4 linked regions of the Drosophila melanogaster genome follow. The protein of the gene in region 3 interacts with the protein of the main gene of each other region in a pairwise test. Each region holds a gene or a part of one and is shown on either strand. Other genes may lie near its edges.

The links.
Region 1: the proteins of chinmo (region 3) and intr interact in a two-hybrid assay, tested with the Drosophila melanogaster proteins (one large-scale study listed by BioGRID).
Region 2: the proteins of chinmo (region 3) and CG4318 interact in a two-hybrid assay, tested with the Drosophila melanogaster proteins (one large-scale study listed by BioGRID).
Region 4: the proteins of chinmo (region 3) and 4E-T interact in a two-hybrid assay, tested with the Drosophila melanogaster proteins (one large-scale study listed by BioGRID).

The regions. Positions count from the first base shown.
Region 1 is NT_033777.3:28,788,776-28,791,963, forward strand, and holds intr (intrepid), read left to right. Parts: upstream 1-1,746; coding exon 1,747-2,643; 3' UTR 2,644-2,686; downstream 2,687-3,188. Other genes in the region: CG34295 (uncharacterized protein), read left to right, coding at 842-1,708.
Region 2 is NC_004354.4:13,152,961-13,156,722, forward strand, and holds CG4318 (uncharacterized protein), read right to left. Parts: upstream 1,965-3,762; 5' UTR 1,901-1,964; coding exon 1,190-1,900; 3' UTR 501-1,189; downstream 1-500. Other genes in the region: CG4332 (uncharacterized protein), read left to right, coding at 2,136-3,029, 3,109-3,762.
Region 3 is NT_033779.5:1,649,322-1,654,309, forward strand, and holds the start of chinmo (chronologically inappropriate morphogenesis), read left to right. Parts: upstream 1-1,936; 5' UTR 1,937-2,391; intron 2,392-3,453; 5' UTR 3,454-4,514; intron 4,515-4,988. UniProt on the Drosophila melanogaster protein: Required for morphological differentiation of postmitotic neurons during postembryonic brain development. Ensures production of appropriate neuron subtypes within a lineage by preventing precocious generation of late neuronal types of that lineage.
Region 4 is NC_004353.4:952,342-960,370, forward strand, and holds the start of 4E-T (eIF4E-Transporter), read right to left. Parts: upstream 6,052-8,029; 5' UTR 5,691-6,051; coding exon 5,665-5,690; intron 5,549-5,664; coding exon 4,204-5,548; intron 2,710-4,203; coding exon 2,580-2,709; intron 2,523-2,579; coding exon 2,148-2,522; intron 1,886-2,147; coding exon 1,679-1,885; intron 1,559-1,678; coding exon 1,172-1,558; intron 121-1,171; coding exon 1-120. UniProt on the Drosophila melanogaster protein: eIF4E1-binding protein that regulates translation and stability of mRNAs in processing bodies (P-bodies). Probably plays a role in P-bodies to coordinate the storage of translationally inactive mRNAs in the cytoplasm and prevent their degradation.

The sequences.
Region 1 (3,188 bases), on a different chromosome or scaffold from region 3:
GGCTTTGCCTAAAACGTTTGAAATTGATTTCAAGTTCTTTGGCCCATTGTTTTTATATGCAACAAAGGGACAATTTTTCATTTCCAACGATAACAATAAAAGCAACACAAGGTCCTTTTCATGGTGGAACACACTGGGATAGACACACACATGCGGTCGATCCCTGGGCATGTAAATTGGCCGCATTGTTTATGAGCTCTGCTATCCTGCGTGTCCTCCAGCCTCGTCCTTCGAGGGACTATTGATTGTCAATTCAGTTTAAGCGCCGCCCATAAATTCAGTAAATGAGCAGAGGTCCAGCCGAAGCTGCTGCCATTTTTCTTAATTTGCTGAAATGCACAAAAACAATTTTCGATTTCCACGAAAGACGCCCACATCGCGAATTCGAATTCAATGGTTGATAGTTTGCTATTATCCTTAATTTCTACAATATTTTTATTCTTTCATTTCATTTACCTAACACATTTTAAAATATCCTTTAGATAATCTCTAAAATATAGTCACTTGATTTGATTTAAAAACATTTTTAAAGCTAAACGATGAGGTAATATTACTTATCATTCTTAAACCCCCAGCCGGAGAGCCAAAAGGATATCGAGTTGCACTTCAAATGTTTGTGTGCCCTACCTTTGTTTGGTCATTAGACCTGACACGTTGTCAACACGCAACAACTGCCAACAACTGACAGCCGTCAACTGTTTATGTTTGCCATTTAGCAGGCAAAACATTTTGATTACGCATACGCCATGTGGATCGAAGCGACGTTTGTTGCTTTGACAGGCGCCTCGAATTCCATTCGCCCATAAATAAAAGTCATCTGCTGGTTATCAGTCGATTGGAGATGCATTCGCTGCTTGTTTGTGTTTCAGCGCTTTGGTTTTGTCAGCTTTGCGAAGCGGCGATTGGAGCTCAACTCTGCAAGGATTGTCGTGTGAATGTGATATATCCTAGTGGCGGAAGAGGCAACCATCAGTTGTCAGAAAACCGTCAAATAGTTAGAATCATCAACAAATACAAGCCAATCAGAAGGCAGGAACTGGAATATCAAAATGAGATCGGGATGAGCCACTTGCAATTCAGCTTTATTGCGAAGATAAAGGTGGGAAATGCGGTACGATGCAGTGCGGCCTTGGTGGCTCCCAGTTTGGCCATCACCTCCAGTAAGTGCTTTTCAAACGACTCTTTCAAACCGCTGCAAATTATCTTCACCGGCGGAAGAACTATCGCTGTGGATAATGTAGTCAAAGCGGATTTCTGTCCTGAGCTTAGCATTCTTCACTTGAAGAGGCCGTCTGAAATCAATCCAATTGCCCTATGCCAATATGACGTACCATTGGGCACAAGAGTATCAATGATGATGGCCACTTCGGATCTCAGATATTACGGCCGTCGAAGAACTGAAATAATCTCAAATCGTGCCTGCAAGACAACATTCCTGGAAGAGGATTCAGTTTTTATAACTCCCAGTATGCTGTGTGCAAAGAACTCAATGAATCCGGAAATGTGTGCAACTTCTCCAGGTGATGTCCTACTTATAGACCATCAATTATGTGGCTTAAACGTTTATGGATTTCGCTGTTTTCAAAATGCACTCAATGGTGATCTCTACATAAGTCTAGGCAAACTGCAGCCCATGATCGGCGATTTGATCCGGAAACTTAATGGTTTAAGTGAAGAATTTAAATCAGTTACGGGGAAAGAAACCTAATTGTTGTGATTTGAGACTGAATCGGTTGAAATGTCATAATGCAGCTTAGTCAGCTAGTCATAATATTAGCAGTCTCCCGAGGATCAGTTTACGGATCTTCTGAGACCGCTCCGCAGTTTAATGTGGGTGAAATACCCAGCAATGGACAGCCCTATCAGATAGTTCGTGTTATTGAGTATATAGTGCCCTATCCCTACCAGAGATCACCGAAAATTTCCGCTAGATTCTCAAGCGGAGGCAACAAAGAACCCAACAGCCTAGAGATAATTCCCGCTGAAATCGAGACTCTCCTTACCGATGGACAAGCCACAACAGAGGCACCAAAGGCAGTGAAGCATTTCGTTATGCGAATCCTTTATGAAAACAAAGTCATTTGCAGTGGTGCTCTAATCTCCACTCGTCTGGTTTTAACCTCCGCCCTCTGTTTTCCCAGGACTCTGCGTCAACCTCCACCTCGTTCGTACAAACTGCAGGCTAGTCGGAGTCGGATATATTCGGTGGCCAATCTAATTACCGGCGCTATTGAGGACATGGCCCTATTACTGCTCCACGCTCCACTGGAGGATCCCTTCGTCCATCCGATTGATCTCTGCGAGTCACCTCTCCGAAGGAATGACAATGTAACCATGTACATGTCACAGCAACATCTGCGTTTCCTGCGCACCAAACTCATTCCCAATAGCAATTGCAAAAGGAGCTATGCCCAGGATGAGAACGCCTTCATCACGCAGACCATGTTGTGCGCCCTTAATTCAAACCGATTGGTGGACTGCCAGACGGCAAAGGGGGATGTCCTCCTCCACCAGGATCGGTTGTGCGGAGTGGACATTTACGGGCAACACTGCTCCGATGGTGGTGTCAATGGAGAGCTGTATGCGGACGTCTTTAAGGCCCGGACTGAACTGATGCACTTGATTGAGCGTTATTCGAATTAAATGATTTAACAGGGAAATTGCCGAATAAAAAATACATTAACTTAGTTCCTTTCCAATGGTTGTTGAATAAAAATTTTTCAATAACATCTGAAAGTTAGAGAGTGAACATAGATTTACTGTCGCGATTCAATGTTCGTGCGCTGCCCAAATCGAATCAATCTCACTAAACAAACACTGAAAACAAAAGGGCAAAAAAAATCGCAAATAAAATCAGGGGATGCCGCCTTCTGTTGGTCGCGGGCAAAATTGAAAGTCGCCACCAACAAAATCAGAGAAACACAAAGAGCACAAGCGATGTTTTTTTAACATTTTATTTTCTTTCAATTTGCGGCTTAAAAAGTTAACTGTTTCCATCAAAATGCCCTGAACTGCAATGACTATGATGTATGTAAATTTGAGCGAAAAAACAAATGGCAAAAAACGAAAATTGCGAAAAAAAAAACACACAATAAGAGACACAAGCGCCACCCAAACCCTCTAAAATCATCATGACAGGAAAAAGGTGTTACACTTGGCTTGAAATTTACACCGTCGATGGGCGGGGC
Region 2 (3,762 bases), on a different chromosome or scaffold from region 3:
CTGAGCCGAGATCCGACCATTTCCGATTATTTATACCCTCCATTTTGTCATGTTATCTATTTCTTGTCTATCAAACAATGCCCACATATTTATAGCATCGACTCATCTGCACCCTCGACTCTTTCGGATCGTTATCTATACATGTACTTATTACTCTGCACCACATTTTTCACTCACAATGTGTTCCAGTTATAAAAGTTAAAAAAAAAAAACAAACAAACAAATCAAAATCGAGGAAAACATGACGTGCAACTTGAAGCGTGCAAATCAATTCAACCTATTTTTATCATATTTTTGTTTCATGATGTGTACATTTTAGTCCTTTAATTTATTCCAAAGGTTTGGAAATTTCGCGCGTGACGAAGAGAGAGAGTTATACATAGTACTTCATAGTTATAATTATATAAAACTCTAGTACCTAATTTTATGAAATCATGTTGTATATACTATATGCTGTATATTGTTATACATAAACCTTTAAATAAAAACTGCTACCAAATACAGTGTCCCAGCGTTTAGTATTTATTCCAACGATCATATATCGGATTGACAAAAAATGAGTATAATCGTTGTGAGGTTCTTTGGAGGTGTTCGCTTTTCGAAGTTCCCTATACTTTGGTAACACGTTGCATTAGTCTTTTAACATCATGGTCGTTCTTCTTGGTTTGGCATTAATTATGGTGTGCATGGTCTTGTGGTTCTTAAGGGCAGAGTTTCTGTTGAAGATCTTGGGGCATCGGGGACACTTGTAGGATCGCATTAATTATGGTGCATGGTCTTGTGGTTCTTAAGGGCAGAGTTTCTGTTGAAGATCTTGGGGCATCGGGGACACTTGTAGGATCGCATTAATTATGGTGCATGGTCTTGTGGTTCTTAAGGGCAGAGTTTCTGTTGAAGATCTTGGGGCATCGGGGACACTTGTAGGATCGCATTAATTATGGTGCATGGTCTCGTGGTTCTTAAGGGCTGAGTTTCTGTTGAAGATCTTGGGGCATCGGGGACACTTGTAGGATCGCATTAATTATGGTGCATGGTCTTGTGGTTCTTAAGGGCAGAGTTTCTGTTGAAGATCTTGGGGCATCGGGGACACTTGTAGGATCGCATTAATTATGGTGCATGGTCTTGTGGTTCTTAAGGGCAGAGTTTCTGTTGAAGATCTTGGGGCATCGGGGACACTTGTAGGATCGCATTAATTATGGTGCATGGTCTCGTGGTTCTTAAGGGCAGAGTTTCTGTTGAAGATCTTGGGGCATCGGGAACACTTGTAGGATCGTAATTCAGGTCTCGAACTATGTACGCGCTCATGGCGCCTAAGACCGCGGATTTGTGCGTAGGACTGGGAGCATTGTAAGCATTTGTAAGGTTTTTCACGCGCATGGACCCACATGTGACACTTAAGGTGCGCAGGTAACATGAAATACTTCCCGCAAATGTTACATTTATGTGTCTTCTTCAGCATTTTCTTCTTGGTATCCTTCTGGGCGCTGCTCTGGCTCACATTGCCATTCCCGTTGGAGTTTGAGTTGGGGCACATATTCTCCACGTTGTCCCCCGGTGAATCGATTGTCAAGTCAATTGTCTCCATCTCCTGGCTGCCATCGACTGGCTCAATCAGTTCAACATCGGAGTCATTCGATCCTTCTTCCTCATAATTCATCTCACTGACCACCATCTCATCCTGCTCAATCACCTGCACGCTGTCCATCCCGTAAGCAGTCTGCGCATCCAGCGCACAAGACTGGCAAATGGTCTTGGGAAAAGGATCCTTCGGTAGAACCGGGAAGCCGCACCAATCGGAAATCATGGTCGCTAGGGAAACGCCGGGTAGCGGCATCGTTTCGAAGATGCATAGCATGTTCTCCATCTCCCTCAAACAGACACGGCACATCCTGGAATCCATTGCTTTTAGTTAAATTTAATTTTTTGACATGTATCACGTTGGGATGGGAATGATAGTTTGGAAACACGTGCTAGGAACGACCGTTAGGGACAATAAAAACCGATAGTTTTTGAAGCTTTAGATCATCGATACTGCCGGAACTATCGATAGCTTCTTTTAATGTTTTGCCGGCTCTAGTGCCAATACCAATAAAACGCCGGCCAACGCACCAACGAGAAAACCGTAAGAGGAGGACATGGCCCTGCCCTCGATCTCCACGCTTCTAGGCGTTGCATTTCTGGCGTACATCGGCCACTCCATCTACCAGATGTCGCAGCTCTTCACTACGCTGCAATGCAGCGGTGTGCCGTGCTACACATCATTCCTGGCGGACAGGCCACGCCTGCAACTGGCATTGTTTTCCTCCCTCAGCAGAAGTCCCATTGCCACCGAGGTGCGGGATCTGTACAAGGCCAAGAGGTTCGACTATGATCAAAACTTTGAGCACGACTTCGAAGTGGATGTGCCGCTGAGGACGCGCCGGAATGGCTCCCTGTATCTTCATGTGGTCTTGGCCTTGGAGGGTGAGCCACTGGAATGGCGTAGCCTGCGCAGAGATGGGCCCACCGTTGTCCATACGATGAGTCTCACGGATTACATAGTGCCGCGGGCGGAGGCCTTTAAACTGCTTGGAGATTCCGAGAAAGGTGCAGCAGCCGCTGTCCAGGAGAAAGAAAAGAAGAAAGCCTCCACCACTGGACGTCCCAGCACCCACATCCGATCGAATGTTTACGTCACCCTGCTCAACGATCTCTATTCCGTTTCGCAAGCGGATGTCCCACCTGAAATGGCCCCCTTGATACGTGTCAATCGCAATCAACAGATCTTGCCCATCCTGCAGACTGATACATTTAATACGCGGCTAAAGGATCTAGTGCCCGTCACCCGCAATACCACCGAATTCACATTCAGCTTCCACTACAAGCCCGTGGGCGTGGGCAAGCTCCGTCTAATGCTGCTCATGGAACACGCCACCCAGGCGCTGCTCACCATTGGATTTGCTACCAAGGATATTGACGAGGTGAAAGGCATCTTTTCGGACACCAATGTATACCTTTTGTGTGGCACCATCTTTGTGTCCAGCATCCATGTGAGTAGAGATTGAAAAATTGCAACATACGTCATATGCTCCAGTCCTATAACTAATTTATGTTTCCCTTTTCCCGCAGATGCTCTTCGACTTTTTAAGCTTTAAGAACGACGTGGCCTTTTGGCGCAAAAAGCAGTCGTACGAGGGGCTATCAAGCCGCACCACAATGTGGCGAGCGTTTTCGCAGATCGTGATCTTTTTTTATCTGCTAGATGAGAATACGTCGTATCTGGTACTTGTGCCAGTTGGCCTGGGCACGCTCATTGAGCTGTGGAAGTGCAAGAAAATCTTCCGTCTGGAGCTTAGCTTCAGTGGCCTGGTTCGTCGCAAGCTGGAGCAAGTTGACCGGCGGAATGGTGACCAAGCTGGCGTGAAGTCAGGTCAGCTGGCGGAGGAGCAGAAGACTGATCAGTTTGACAGACAGGGCATGCGATATCTGAGCTATCTGCTGTATCCGCTTTGTATATGCGGAGCGGTCTATTCGCTCCTCTACCAACCACACCGCTCCTGGTACTCATGGACACTTAACTCACTGGTGAACGGAGTTTACGCCTTCGGTTTCCTGTTCATGTTGCCGCAACTGTTTGTAAACTACAAGCTGAAGTCTGTGGCCGCATTGCCGTGGCGCGCATTTATGTATAAAGCATTTAATACCTTCATCGACGACTTCTTCGCCTTCATCATCACCATGCCCACGGCCCATCGGGTGGCCTGCCTGCGCGATGATATTGTG
Region 3 (4,988 bases):
GTAATATTTTGATGCGCCTATTTTCTAAAGTTCAGATGAATTCTGAATGCACATGAATCGTATGATTGGTTTCTCGTTTAGAATCTATCCATTGTATATAATTATATATATTGTTACATTATTATTACTATATAATATAATAATATTATATTGCTTGTACTTCTAGTATTATTTAATTTATTACTTTTTCCTTTTCCACGTTTTTTTTTTTCAGTGCGCTAACAAAAGTTGTGTAGCTAAGCAAAAAGTTGAGTGACGAAGAGCAGGGGAAGACGTAGGTCCAAAAAGTGCGTGCAGTACTGCAAAAGCAAATGGAGAGCCAAAAAGAGAAGCACAGGGGTGGATTTAGGAGGTGGAGTGAGGTTTATTGGCGCTCGACCGAAAAATGCACTGCATTTTTCGTTATGGAAAGGGTTTGATCTAGTGGTATTTTTATAAAATAAAAATATATGAAATTAATTTAAAATGCATCGAAAAAGAATTATTAAGGAACGCGTTCCGGAATAATTCCACTTCCGACTGGGGAAGCAAAAGCAGCAGCAAAAGCAGGAGCTTTTGCCTTTGCTTATTGGATTTTCGACGCCGGCACTCCACGTGTTTCTTGAATCGCGTAAATTGTTCGTTTTCCCTTACCACACCCCGCCCCTTTACCGACAAGCTTTCATTGTCATTGTGTGTGCATAAAATGGCAGCAGAGAGAGAGAGAGAGAGAGAGAATGGGAAAACATGCGCCAAAAAAAAGCTTACCGCTCTCTCCTCTCTTTCGCTCACTGCAAAACGAATGCGCATTGTTATTGTTTTTGGCAAGGCTGCACTGAAAAAAAAATACTGTTGCTAACGAACTGTCAATGAATAGAAATAAGGTAATTGTTTGATTCAACTTTATCAACTCTTTTTCCACTAAAATTAAGTGGTTATTGTTTGATTGGCTAGGAATTTGATATTTTTGATGGGAATTGCATTCAAAAAAGGGACTCCTGACACTTGTGTGAATAGGGGAAGTTTTTGGGCTGAGAAATGAAAAGCATTTTGAGGGTTTTTGTTCCAATTTTGATGGTTTGATCGGAAAGTTCTCAAGGGATATGCAAATTATGCGAGAACTGAGTAGTTAGGTTATTATTGTTTTCTTCCTAGAAATCAAAGACCAATTGTAAGAATTTTCTAAAGAATTCCAAAGAATTCCACTAAAAAAATTTTATCCTTTACTTTTGTTTTCTGAGAGTGATCAAGATTTTAAAGAAACGTAATGCGTTCTTTTGCATTAAAGCTATGCAATTAACATTTTTCCCATATTCCCATCTTAACTCATTGTGCCGATCTTAAAGTGGTTTTCCATATAAATCGCCTCTTGCGAACCCTATTTCTATTGCATCTAATATTCAGAGACCACCTGGATGGAATCCCCCGCTGTTCGAATAGGTTAAGACCAAGTTAAGGTTTGCTTTTGCTATTTCGGGACGAGATTTCCCTAAACATTTTCCACTTGAGCGGAGCTCCTATAAATTACCTCATGTCCTTTGCCTTATGCAATTGCGCCTGCAAAAGAGAGAGTGAGAGAAAGAGTGAGAGACTCACCCCCGGATTATGAGGATATATGTAATTTTTATCCTGGGGCGGCAGTGCATACACACAGAAAAAGACATGCAAAAAGCAGTTGCAACGACCATTACTTCTACTCGCCTGAGTAAATTGTGTTCTAAAAATCATTAAAAAAAAATATGTAAACTATTTTCTGTTATACTTTAGACTATTTTCGGTTATCCTTTTTAAGAATCCTTGTTGGAGATGTCCAATCTGACAATTGCAAGTTGCTCGCCTGCATTCCAATTGGATTAAAAGCTCGCTCGCTCGCTCGCGCTCTCTTTCTCTCTCTCTCTACGGAGCACACCACTGCACGCTTGTTCGTTCGCCGCCTGTTGGAATCGAAATCGAATCGGCAGTCAAAAAGAAACTGCCGTGTTGAACGGACGTGTTGAAGTTTCGCGGTTGCTTGTTTCGGTGGTGCTCGCAGCAGCAGCAGCGTTTGTGCATTCGCATTCGCAGTCGCAAATTCGCATCGCCTCGTCGCTCGTCAGCCCTGGCAACTGCAGGCAACTCAAGTTTTACACGTAAATTAAGAAACGAGGAAGCACGGACAGAATCGAAACCGCTTGATAAAACAGTTATTCTCTACATTTCTGAACTGAAAGAACTGCAGCGGATGAAGTGCAAAAAGCGAAAAGTGCTAAAAGTTTGCGGCATTGAACACTTTTAATTATTATTTACGTTTTGTTTGTGTTTCGTCGAGCAAAGCAAATGCACAAACTAACTGTCCAGTGTGCATGTGTGTGGCAAGAGTGCGTGAGTGCGTCGTGAGTGTTGCAAAACGGCTGTTCGCCTAGTAATTCAAAGGTAATTTTGAGTGAATATTGATCATATTGAAGTGCATGTGGTATGTTTCAAAGCTCAAATAAAGTGACATAAAATCAAAAATGAACAATTATGCGTGTGTACTTGGTTTTCTCGCACACATGAAATTCTGGCCTATGTGTGTGTGTGTGTGACTTTGCAACTCGAATTTCAAACGGTACAAAACGCAGCATAAAAAATGAAGCGAATAGCAAAAGCAAACTGAGAAAAAGTGAAGTATAGACTTTTATGCATAACCAAAACGTCTGCATTTTTAATCAAGCAACAACAATAGAAAAATAAGCAAAAGCAAACTACAACAACAACAGCGAGGAGTACATGGAACAATAAACAACCCTCCCCGTTTTCCGCCTCCCCCTGAAAATAAACAAGGCGCAATACCAGTGAACTGAACCCCTTTTTTGCACTGTGTGTTTATGTGTGTGTGTGTGTGTGTGTGTGCTACGAAATAGCAATTAAGGGAGAATAGAGGAAAGTGCATGAAGTGCAGGAAAGAAGGCAAAATGCAATTAATCCCCAGGACACTTGTTCAAAAAAGCGAGAGAAAAGTGTAGAATAACGGTGAACAAGTGTTGAACAACTACAGAAATACACTACAAAATGTGAAAACTTCTTAAAAATAGTTTTGAAGTAAATGTTCTTAAAACAATTAGACAATTCACTGCTCAAATAAAAATGTTTCCCCTTCCCCAAAATTTCCAAGTCCCAATGCCATATAAAGTGTTTTTGAGTAGAATAAAAGACATTTGCCAGAAGCAAAGTGGGAATTACGGTCCCAAAATGGGAAAATGAAATATATTCTGCGATAATAAAATCATTAATCCAATTCCACTTACAAGAAATCGGGCTGATAAGAAACCAGAAATTCTGGGCACAAATGAAATGAAATTTATTCGGGTGAACTGTGACAAATTAATATAATATTAAAAAGAAAATGAATACTTAAAACATGTCACATTATCCCCGAATAGATTTGAGTTTCAATCAGCCAAATTCCACTTACACTTTTTAATAACAATTTTCTAACCGCTTTTGTATTTGCAGCCAAATGTCAATGTGAAAATGTCTCAACGAGCAAATTTTAGGAAAGTCAAGAAAAACATTCAACGACCTCAAAACCAGCGAATGCTACAAAATGCGAATCAAGAACATTTAACCATCTAAATATTCAAAATCAATTTAATTGAATCAAATAACGCGAAATTGCAACAAATCAACCTAAAAATGAACTGAAAACAAAAACATTTCGAAAAACAACGCAAAATTCTAAAATTGGCAACATAAGTTTTGGTCTTGAATTAAATACAACAAAAATAAATTAACAAAAAACGATTTTTGGCAACAAAACATCATACATAAAATATACACAAATTGTAATTATCTCAAAACGTCCACACGTGAAAATGATTTGCAACTAAGATGACAATCTAATAAAATCAATGTAAATTTTTAACGCAACAAAAGGAAAACCAAAACCGTCAGCAAAAACCAGCCCAAAATCAGTTGAAAAGCCGAGGGAAATCTTTTTAGAACAAACGCAGAAAACCGCAAAAATTTAAGCCACCAAATTGGTAAACTATTCAAAATTATTGGTTCGGACATACGCAATACTAAACACAGCAACACAACAACAACAACAACAACAGCAACAACAGCAGCCATAGCAACTACTACAGTGATCACTACAGTAAAAGCAACCGCAACAGAAGCAGCAGATAAAACGTGTGTGTTAGTTTGCATAAAAATTTCGTTTCGATAAAAGCAAAGCAAAATCATTTAACAAAATAAATAAAGAATAAAGTAAAAAAAAAAATTACCAATCGTAATACATGTATTTATAAAATATATACCTATACATATATCTATGCTTACGAATTATATCGGAGAATATTTGGTAAACAATTTTTGATAAAAACAACTCGAGTATATATCCTAACTAATTAGCAACAAAAAGAACTAGAACATTTGGCCTAAGTGAAAAAAAAAGTGAAGTGAGAAAAACTAAAAAGAAAAACTTATAAATTCAAAATTACCACTTGTGAAAGGTGTTACAACTGAGGATTCTGGATTTGGATTAATGCGTAAATTTGCAATTGAATATTAAGGTGAGTTTGTTATGTTATATTTATGAAAAATTCACAACTTGTCATTTTTTCACACATCTCTTCGCATTTCTTAATGGCCCTTTTAAGTTTCCCCACGCACGAAAAAGTGCGTAAAATGAAAAATGTTTTTTTTTTTTTTAGAAAGTGTCCACAAACATTTGCAAACAATTACCGCTCGTAAAAAAAAGGCAAGTGCTCCGCCTCTAATTACAATTATAATTTATGCAAAAAGTAAGGAAAACATTTTTTGGTCAAGAGAAAAATTGTCTACGCACTTTGCGTATGATTTATGACACTCAAAACTTGGCGTTGCATATTAATACGCGAGAAAAAAGCAAAAGTTGCTTGCTTGTCACTTCTACATGTGTATCTACGCACACACACACACAAACTCTCTCACACACTCACGCACGGAAAGGGGTGTAGATATTTTTTGGGGTTGTGCATAAATTAAAAATATATTACTTCTGCTTC
Region 4 (8,029 bases), on a different chromosome or scaffold from region 3:
GTTGCTGCTGCTGTAGATGTGGTTGATGAATGGGTTGCATTTCAATTTTATGGGCAGTAAAAGGAAGTGCAGAATTGGAATGCGGCATTGAATTAAGACCTCCTTTCAGAATAGGTCGGCCTAAAATATGTAAGTCAAAATAATAATGTGTAAGTCTTTGAACCCATTAATACAGAAGTCGAAGATCTCAAGTTTATTATATCGCGTTGTTTAACAAAGATATTTATTCCTAGAGAATAAAATATTGCTTTGGGTCACAGATAACTACATTAAAACAAAGTCCACTTCAAAAAATTCCACTAAATAATCGTAATTTTCATTACCCCAATAAGTCAAGAATAATCAAAATTGTAGGGTACACTTCTTGCACAGAATATAAATTAAGCAAACTGTGTATATGAATATTTATTTTTTGGTCTATTAAAAAATACTCTCTATATTATGTAAGTATATACGTGCACGCACGTCGTGTCTCAAAAAGCCAATTTAGCTATTCTACAGGTTGTATATTTACACCCGGTTCTCGTAGAGATATACTATATTCGTTTTAAAGAATGTAACAGGCAGAAAGAAGCGTTTCCGACCATATAAAGTATATATATTCTTGATCAGGATCAATAGCCGAGTCGATCTGGCCATCGAGATCTCAGGAGCTATAGAAGCTAGAGAGTTGAGAAGCTTGAGAGAGTCATGATGCTGCGGACACTCTAAGGCCCACAAACAGGCCAAAACTGCCACGCCCACAAAGCCACCAAAACTTTTGAAAATTTACTTGATTAAGAGACTAATAAATTGATGAAAAAGTCAACAAAAATCCTAAAAAACGTATGGCGTTACTCGTCATTCTAATGTCTTTGGCAAAACCAATATATGGCCGTTACGTATCTTGTTATTCTAATGTCTTTGCTTTTACGCTACGGGTAACGGGTATAAAAAGCATCCACTTTCTCCTATCCTATACTATCCTCTTTTAAGAACTGAATTTTGTATTTGCGTATTTGCACGCTTTTTATGGTAACTCAACGATTTTTATAATTTCTCTTGAAATTCATATACATTTACATTAAGTTTATGAGAACGAGTAAAAAAAACTTATAGCAAAAAAAAAAAAACAAAGCTTTAACTAATAAATGTACTTTAATAATAGCTAACACTTTTTTGTGTAACTTACCAAATGTTTTTCCGTGGACCATTTGCATATTGCCAGAAGTCCACTTTAACACTTGTTGATTACGACTTTGTGACATGTTGGGAGACAAATGTTGATTGTTTTGGCCAATGGCAAAGTTTCCACCGCCTAATATCATTCGGGGCTGTACAGCCATTGTTGCGGTCAGCTGTGGCTCAAGTACGTTCTCACGAGTACCGACTTGCTTGGCATTTTGTTGGTGTACATGATATTGTGGGTTCTGACAATAAGTGCTTGGTGATTGCGTATCCTTATCGGCTGTCATTTTTCTTAAAACTGAAGTAGGAGTAAATGCCAACGGAGTTGGAGAGTTACCGTGGGAAATTAGCTGATTAATCGTATGGTTAGCAGTATTTTGCGAATGCAATTCTAGAAAAAAATTAAGGAATTTTTACAAATAATTTTAGTAATAAATAAGATACTTTAACTGAATCAAATATTATATTAATTGAATTTTAAAGAGTTACCATATAACCAAGAATTACTTACCTTGAGAGTAGTGCTGATGGACTGATTGAGGCTGAAGAAACGATTGTTGGGTAAAAATATTGGGATCGCCTGTGACCACCGGATTTCTTTTAGAATGAGAATATTCATTCAACACTGTGGCAATGACATCCTTTGTGGCTGCTGGGGTGCTGGGATTATCCAATTCTTTTTCCAAAAAATCATGTGAAACGTCTCCACAATGAAGTCCTATTTATTATTAAACATTTTGTTTTTCATAATATTTAAATACAGCGCAGGGTATAAAAGCATTAAAATAAGAACACGTGGTTTTTACCAGATACGCTTTAAATAAGTTCCCGTTCTGATGGTAAACATGTATATGGTAAACTGTAACATTCATGTGTTTTATCAGCCAGAAACCTTATATTATTTTACCATAAGGACAAGAAAAAGGACTTAAGTATTCAAGAAAAAGTTTATAGACATGGAATTTTGAAACATATCTTACTTTGAATTAAATGTTGGATTTCCAAACGCTTTTGCAAAAATACATGACTACTAGTTGGCATGGTTGGCACGTTAACACTTAACTCTGGTTGCTGCAAATGACCATCATTTATTTTTTGATGTAATTTTGACTCAAGGTGTACATGATTTGCTATATTTGAGAGGTTTATTGTACGACAATCGTCGTTGCATGGATGATGCTGCCTGGCTTGAGAACCCAACTGTTGCAAAAGTTTTTTGAATGCCTCAGTGTCTCTAGCAATAGGTTTTTCCATTTGCACTGTCTGACATAATGACCCTGCTATTGGATTTATTAAATCAGTCCTCATATCCACTTTTATCATTTGAGCTTCCAGATCCTTAACACTTGGAATACCTTAAGAACAAAGTGAACTATAAGGCCTTTGATATATTATTACAAATCTTGACATACCACGTTTTTCTTGAGCATGCGATTCCCGAAACCCTGGAAACTCATTATTATTTGCAGCTTCTTTTTGTCGAAACCATCGGCTAAAACGGGATGTTCCTTTTGAGTCACTTTTTCCAGTTTCATCATTACTCTGCAAATGTACAATAAATATATCTTAAAATTAATAAGCTTACCTTTAAAATATAAATTCTAGGGTATTAGAGTTGCCGGGGCAAACTTTTTTTTTTGCAAATCCATAGAAATTTACTAGACTAATAAAAATATGAAAAAATATCAGAACATTTTTCAAAAATGTTGGCGTGGCAGTTCTGGGCGGTTTGTTTGTTTGTTTTTAACGCATAAAGTGATAGCAGACAACTGTATGTGTACACAGGCATGCTCATGCATTGTAAATTTCACAAAATATGCCCTTCACCTTAGAAGTTCTTTGACTTTAAATCTATATTATTTTTGATCAATTGGCACCATGCGAAAAATTCTTGTTTTGCATTGCCTTAACGTTATTATTATATGAAAATAGATTAGAAATAGCCAAATCTATGTACATATTATCACAAAAATAAATTTCAAAAATGACTTTATATAAGAATATTTGTCATTAGAGTATTCATCTTGCGGCGTGTGAAAAATTAATAAGGCAATGATTGTTGAGTGCTTGTGTCCGTACTTCGTGCTTCAAGATATGAACAAAGCAAAGACACTAGAATAATTCTAGTGTCTTTGATATGACTTTTGCAATAAACAGTTATCATATTTAATTATTTACTATATTTATTATGTCATTTGACTTAATATGATGTAACATTAACATTAAAAGTGTTTAAAAAAAAAAATATTTCGCTTTTAAAAAATTGTCAGATGAGAGACAAATTAGAATTAAACATAAATATAAATGTGTAAACGGTAGCTAATTCGAGCGGCGATTTTAACAAACAAATTTAAAAAGCTTTAAAATGATAATAGTCAGTTAAAAATTATTTTATTTTATCATATTGCTACGAAATTGACAAAAACTACCCTAATATGTACAATGTAAATTCGTTTCTTTGATCAGAATTGATTTCGGTCCGAAAATCGTCTTCTAGCACAACACGCACACATATATGCGTTCTCGTCTCTTGTTTTTACTCACACAAGCAAGCAAATTCTATTTTTAGATTTCTTATGCTCTCAGCGGGAGCGAGCGGAAAGAGAGCAATTTTGGCCGTCACTAAAAAATTGGCTGCATAGTGCAAAACCAATGTATGGCCGTTACGCATCTTGTTATTCTAGTGTCTTTGCTTGTGCTGCGTCTTCGTATCTATAATCTGTATGCTAAATTGCAACATACTAGTTTTTTTAGTTCCTGAGATCTCGACGTTCATACGGACAGACGGACATGGCCAGTTCGACTCGGCTATTGATCCTGATCAAGAATATATAGTTTACATACTTTTCAACGAATCTAGTATACCCTTTAACTCTTTACCCTTTACTTGAGTAACGGGAGTTAATATCATTATTTACAGCTTATTTGAATACTATTATTGATCCGTCAATAAAAGGTAACCCGGAAGTTGTCCATGTAATGTCTGAATGGATTAGGTACTCATTCCTTAAAATCTAGTTTTTGCAATATATTTACCAAAACGGAATTATCCAAGGGATGCATATTAAGAAAGGCATCAAAATTAAATTCACTTTCAGGATTCTGACTGGGCTGCATCTGAATTGGTTTGTTTTTATTGGGATGGCCGAGATCTGTTGAGTTTTGAATAGAAGTCACTACATTTTCGTCAGTGTGCTTCTTTTCATCACTTGGAATGACTTCGCGGAAATTTAAACTATCATTGCTGTTTCTCATCGAAGCTTCATCTTTGCTTGCTTGCGCGTCTAAATTTTTATCAAGTTGTTGAATTTGATTATTTTTATCTTCAGTTACGGATCGCTCTTCGTTTTTTTCCAGGTCTTCAAACCCGTGTAGATCAATAGTTTCTAGCTGTGATTTAGGTCCTGCACTGAACCATTCAGGTTCTTCGTGAATGAGATAGGAATTGCCACGCTTGCTTCGGCTTTGAGTACTGAAAGGCTCCTTACCAGAAATGCGTCGATTATTAATTCCCTGACGATCAAAAGACTTTTTGGAGTCATATTGAAAACGACGATCTGTGACTTCGGGAACACGTTCAACTAACCTTCCACTGAATGTTCGAGAACGATGTTGGCTTTGATTGTGCTGATTAAGACTGCTTGTACTTCCAGATCCATTTGGAGATGTTTCCTTTTCATTCTCAATGCTGGCTTCTACGGTCTTTTCGTTTTTGTAATCCCAATTATCACTTCTTGGCAACAGCCGACCGCTACCAATCCGCCTTTCTTGGCGGGATGTTGAAAATGTAGGTGAAGATGACATGCATTGGTCGTGATCCGGCTGAACAAAATTCAAACATGTCTCAGCAGTATCCAACTCGCTACCCTTACGGCTAGGCGAACTGGCTGCCTTGCCCTTGCTTGCACAAGTGTTTATCCCCTCGTTGCTTTCCTCGCTGTTGCTGCCTTTCGATATGACAAAACGCCTCTTTGCAAATGCCGGCATTAAATGTGAAGATGATATGCTACGGTGATCGATGATATTCAACTTATAGGGCTGTCCATGAGAAAGCGCATCCTTATCTTTATCCTCCCCACTTATTAGAAGAGAATCGGTAGGTACGAAGCGCTGGTAATAGTTGTTTGCCCGTTCTCGATTTCTCATAGCGCGACGTGAACTTATTGAGCTACTATTGGAACAAATTAAGCTCGAGTTATCTGCTTCTGGAGAAAGTCGATTCTTGTTTTGATTAGAATAGGCGCTGGACACGGTTAACGCAGCTGTGTTCAGATTAATTTTCCAAAAACCTAGCGTCTGCAATTCAAGTCGTGTTGAACATTGCGGGCGCTGTCGACTTTTACCTTCATATCTTAGAGCTAACAGGTCTACTTTCGAGTACCTAATGTGAAACAGATTGTTAAAACAATGTTAGTACATATACAAGTTTAAAAAAACAGTACGCGAGAATAATATCGAAAAAGTTGACTAAAATTTACCAATATTTAATCCACATACCTGGCACTAATCTTTGATGTATCCATTGCTAAGGACTATAGTTCACTGTGTAATCTAACTTATTACAGAAAGTCGAAAAAGTTAAGATATCCAAAATTATTAAAAACAGAACACTCTCCTATATGAACGGGAGAAATTGTACAATGAATATACAAATAGTACACACCACTTATGCAAACACACACTTTGAAAAATTAATATATATATATATATATACGTATTTTAAGGCCATATATATGACTGTTGAGTTTCATGAGAATATAATCCCAAGACGCTTACATACATATATAACAATTTTTAATGCTCACAATGTTGCGATTAGCTTTGTGAATATCACGCTAAATTGGAGTGGGATATAGACATTGAAAATATTTTGTTCTTATTGAACCTTAAGGCATTATATATATTAATATTGAAACATTAAAAGAGAAACACCGTGAAACAATGGAATTTTGAAGTTGTGACATTTGTGGGAAAAGAAATTCTAGGTTTTTCCTACTGGTGCTAAAGCGATACCAGACTAAGCATATCTGTCCGTTCGTATGAGCGTCGAGTAAAGGTGCCGAATGTTTTCTAAAATGATTAATATTATTATTTACACTTGAAAAACAAAAAATAAATTTTATTTATGTAACGTCGATGTTTTATAAAATAGTTTATATGATTATTTACATTTGAAATACTCATAATATATAATATAAATAAGAATATTTTTATATTATTAAACTATTAAATTTTAAATTTAATATAAAACAAATCAAGAAATTATAATCAGGCATGCATTACCGAATAATCGTAATTTGTTTCCGAATTCGATTTGATTTCGTAAAATTTTTTGCTGTCGGAGTGTTTTCTGTACAGTAAACAGCTGTTTAAGCTGTTTTCCAGCGGACACCTTTTTCACAATTTTAATTCCGATGTTCGCATTTAATTTTTTACTGCATTTTGACCGTTTAATTAATTAAATTAAATAGCATTACTTACGAACACTATAGGCCATCTTTTAAATTAAGATAATTAATTCTTTTATATTTTATAAGTAAGTTTAGTCGACGCACGCATGACCCCATGCCAAATCGAAAATTTTTTTTGCCGACGGCAAAATTTTGTATGTCAAATTTTTAATGGGGTCAGAAATAAATTGTATATAAAATAAATAATGAATATAAATAATTAATATAAATCAATAGACCACTGAGTAAACTATTTTTTCCCTTGGTAAATAATATCTTACGTGATATAAAAATGGGCATATACTTTTCATTTCGGCCAGACAAAAGTGTCCGTTTTACAAATCGAAAAATCCTTACGAATTTGAAAACCGGAGCACCGATCTTGCGTTTTAAAATGCCAAATCGAAAATTTTTGTTGCCGACAGCAAAATTTTGTATATCAAATTTTTGATGGGGTCAGAAATAAATTGTATATAAAATAACTAATGAATATAAATCAATAGACTACTGAACTATTTTTTCCCTTGGTTAAGATCTAACGTGATATAAAAATGGGCATATACTTTTCATTTCGGCCAGACAAAAGTGCCCGTTATACACATCGAAAATCCTTACGAATTTGAAAACCGGAGCACCAATCTTTAAAATCGAAATCGTAAAGTACTTCGATTAACGGAGCGTGCCCGATAGATTGATTTTGAAATTTTTTGTAGGTGTACACAGTTATACAAGGAAGTGCACGCCTAACGCTAAAATATGCTGCCGGCGGTCTGATGAAACATGCACGGAATAAGTGTTCGGTCGACTTCGGGAATGATCTTCGTGCACAATGTCTAGAAAATGACATCATGTTCCACACAATGTCATGGTCTATCAAAATCTATAGAGGTTTAGAGTTAAATACATAGCTATTTTTATAGTCATAGTCCCCTTTTTTTGAGAATATACGATAGTTTTGGTTATGGTCTAAGAGTGCGTCACCCAATTTCTATATGCCGTCCTGCATTGACCTAACGGTCTCTACCCACCCATTAATGAAGATAATGACGGCGGTATCGTAAGGATGGCAAAATAGGGATGGTATGGCACAGTACGAAGAAATGTGGTACAAATAAAGCCATATGTCGAGTTATTAAAAATCAAAGTTTTTCATATTTTTCGTATGGTGAGAATTTGTCGTCACATACCATGTCCAAGGGAGTAATAATTTGAAATAAATTGTTAAAGATTATCATACCAAAGACATTAGAATAACAGGATGCGTAACGTCTTACGATTTTTTGGCACACGGTTTTTTCGCCGTGGCTCCAGGCCCCCTCGAATTTTTGTTCGAGAGCGAGAGAGCGGAGAGCGCTACAGCGCACAGCTCTTTTCTACGCATACAGTGATAGCAGACAACTGTGTGTGTGCAC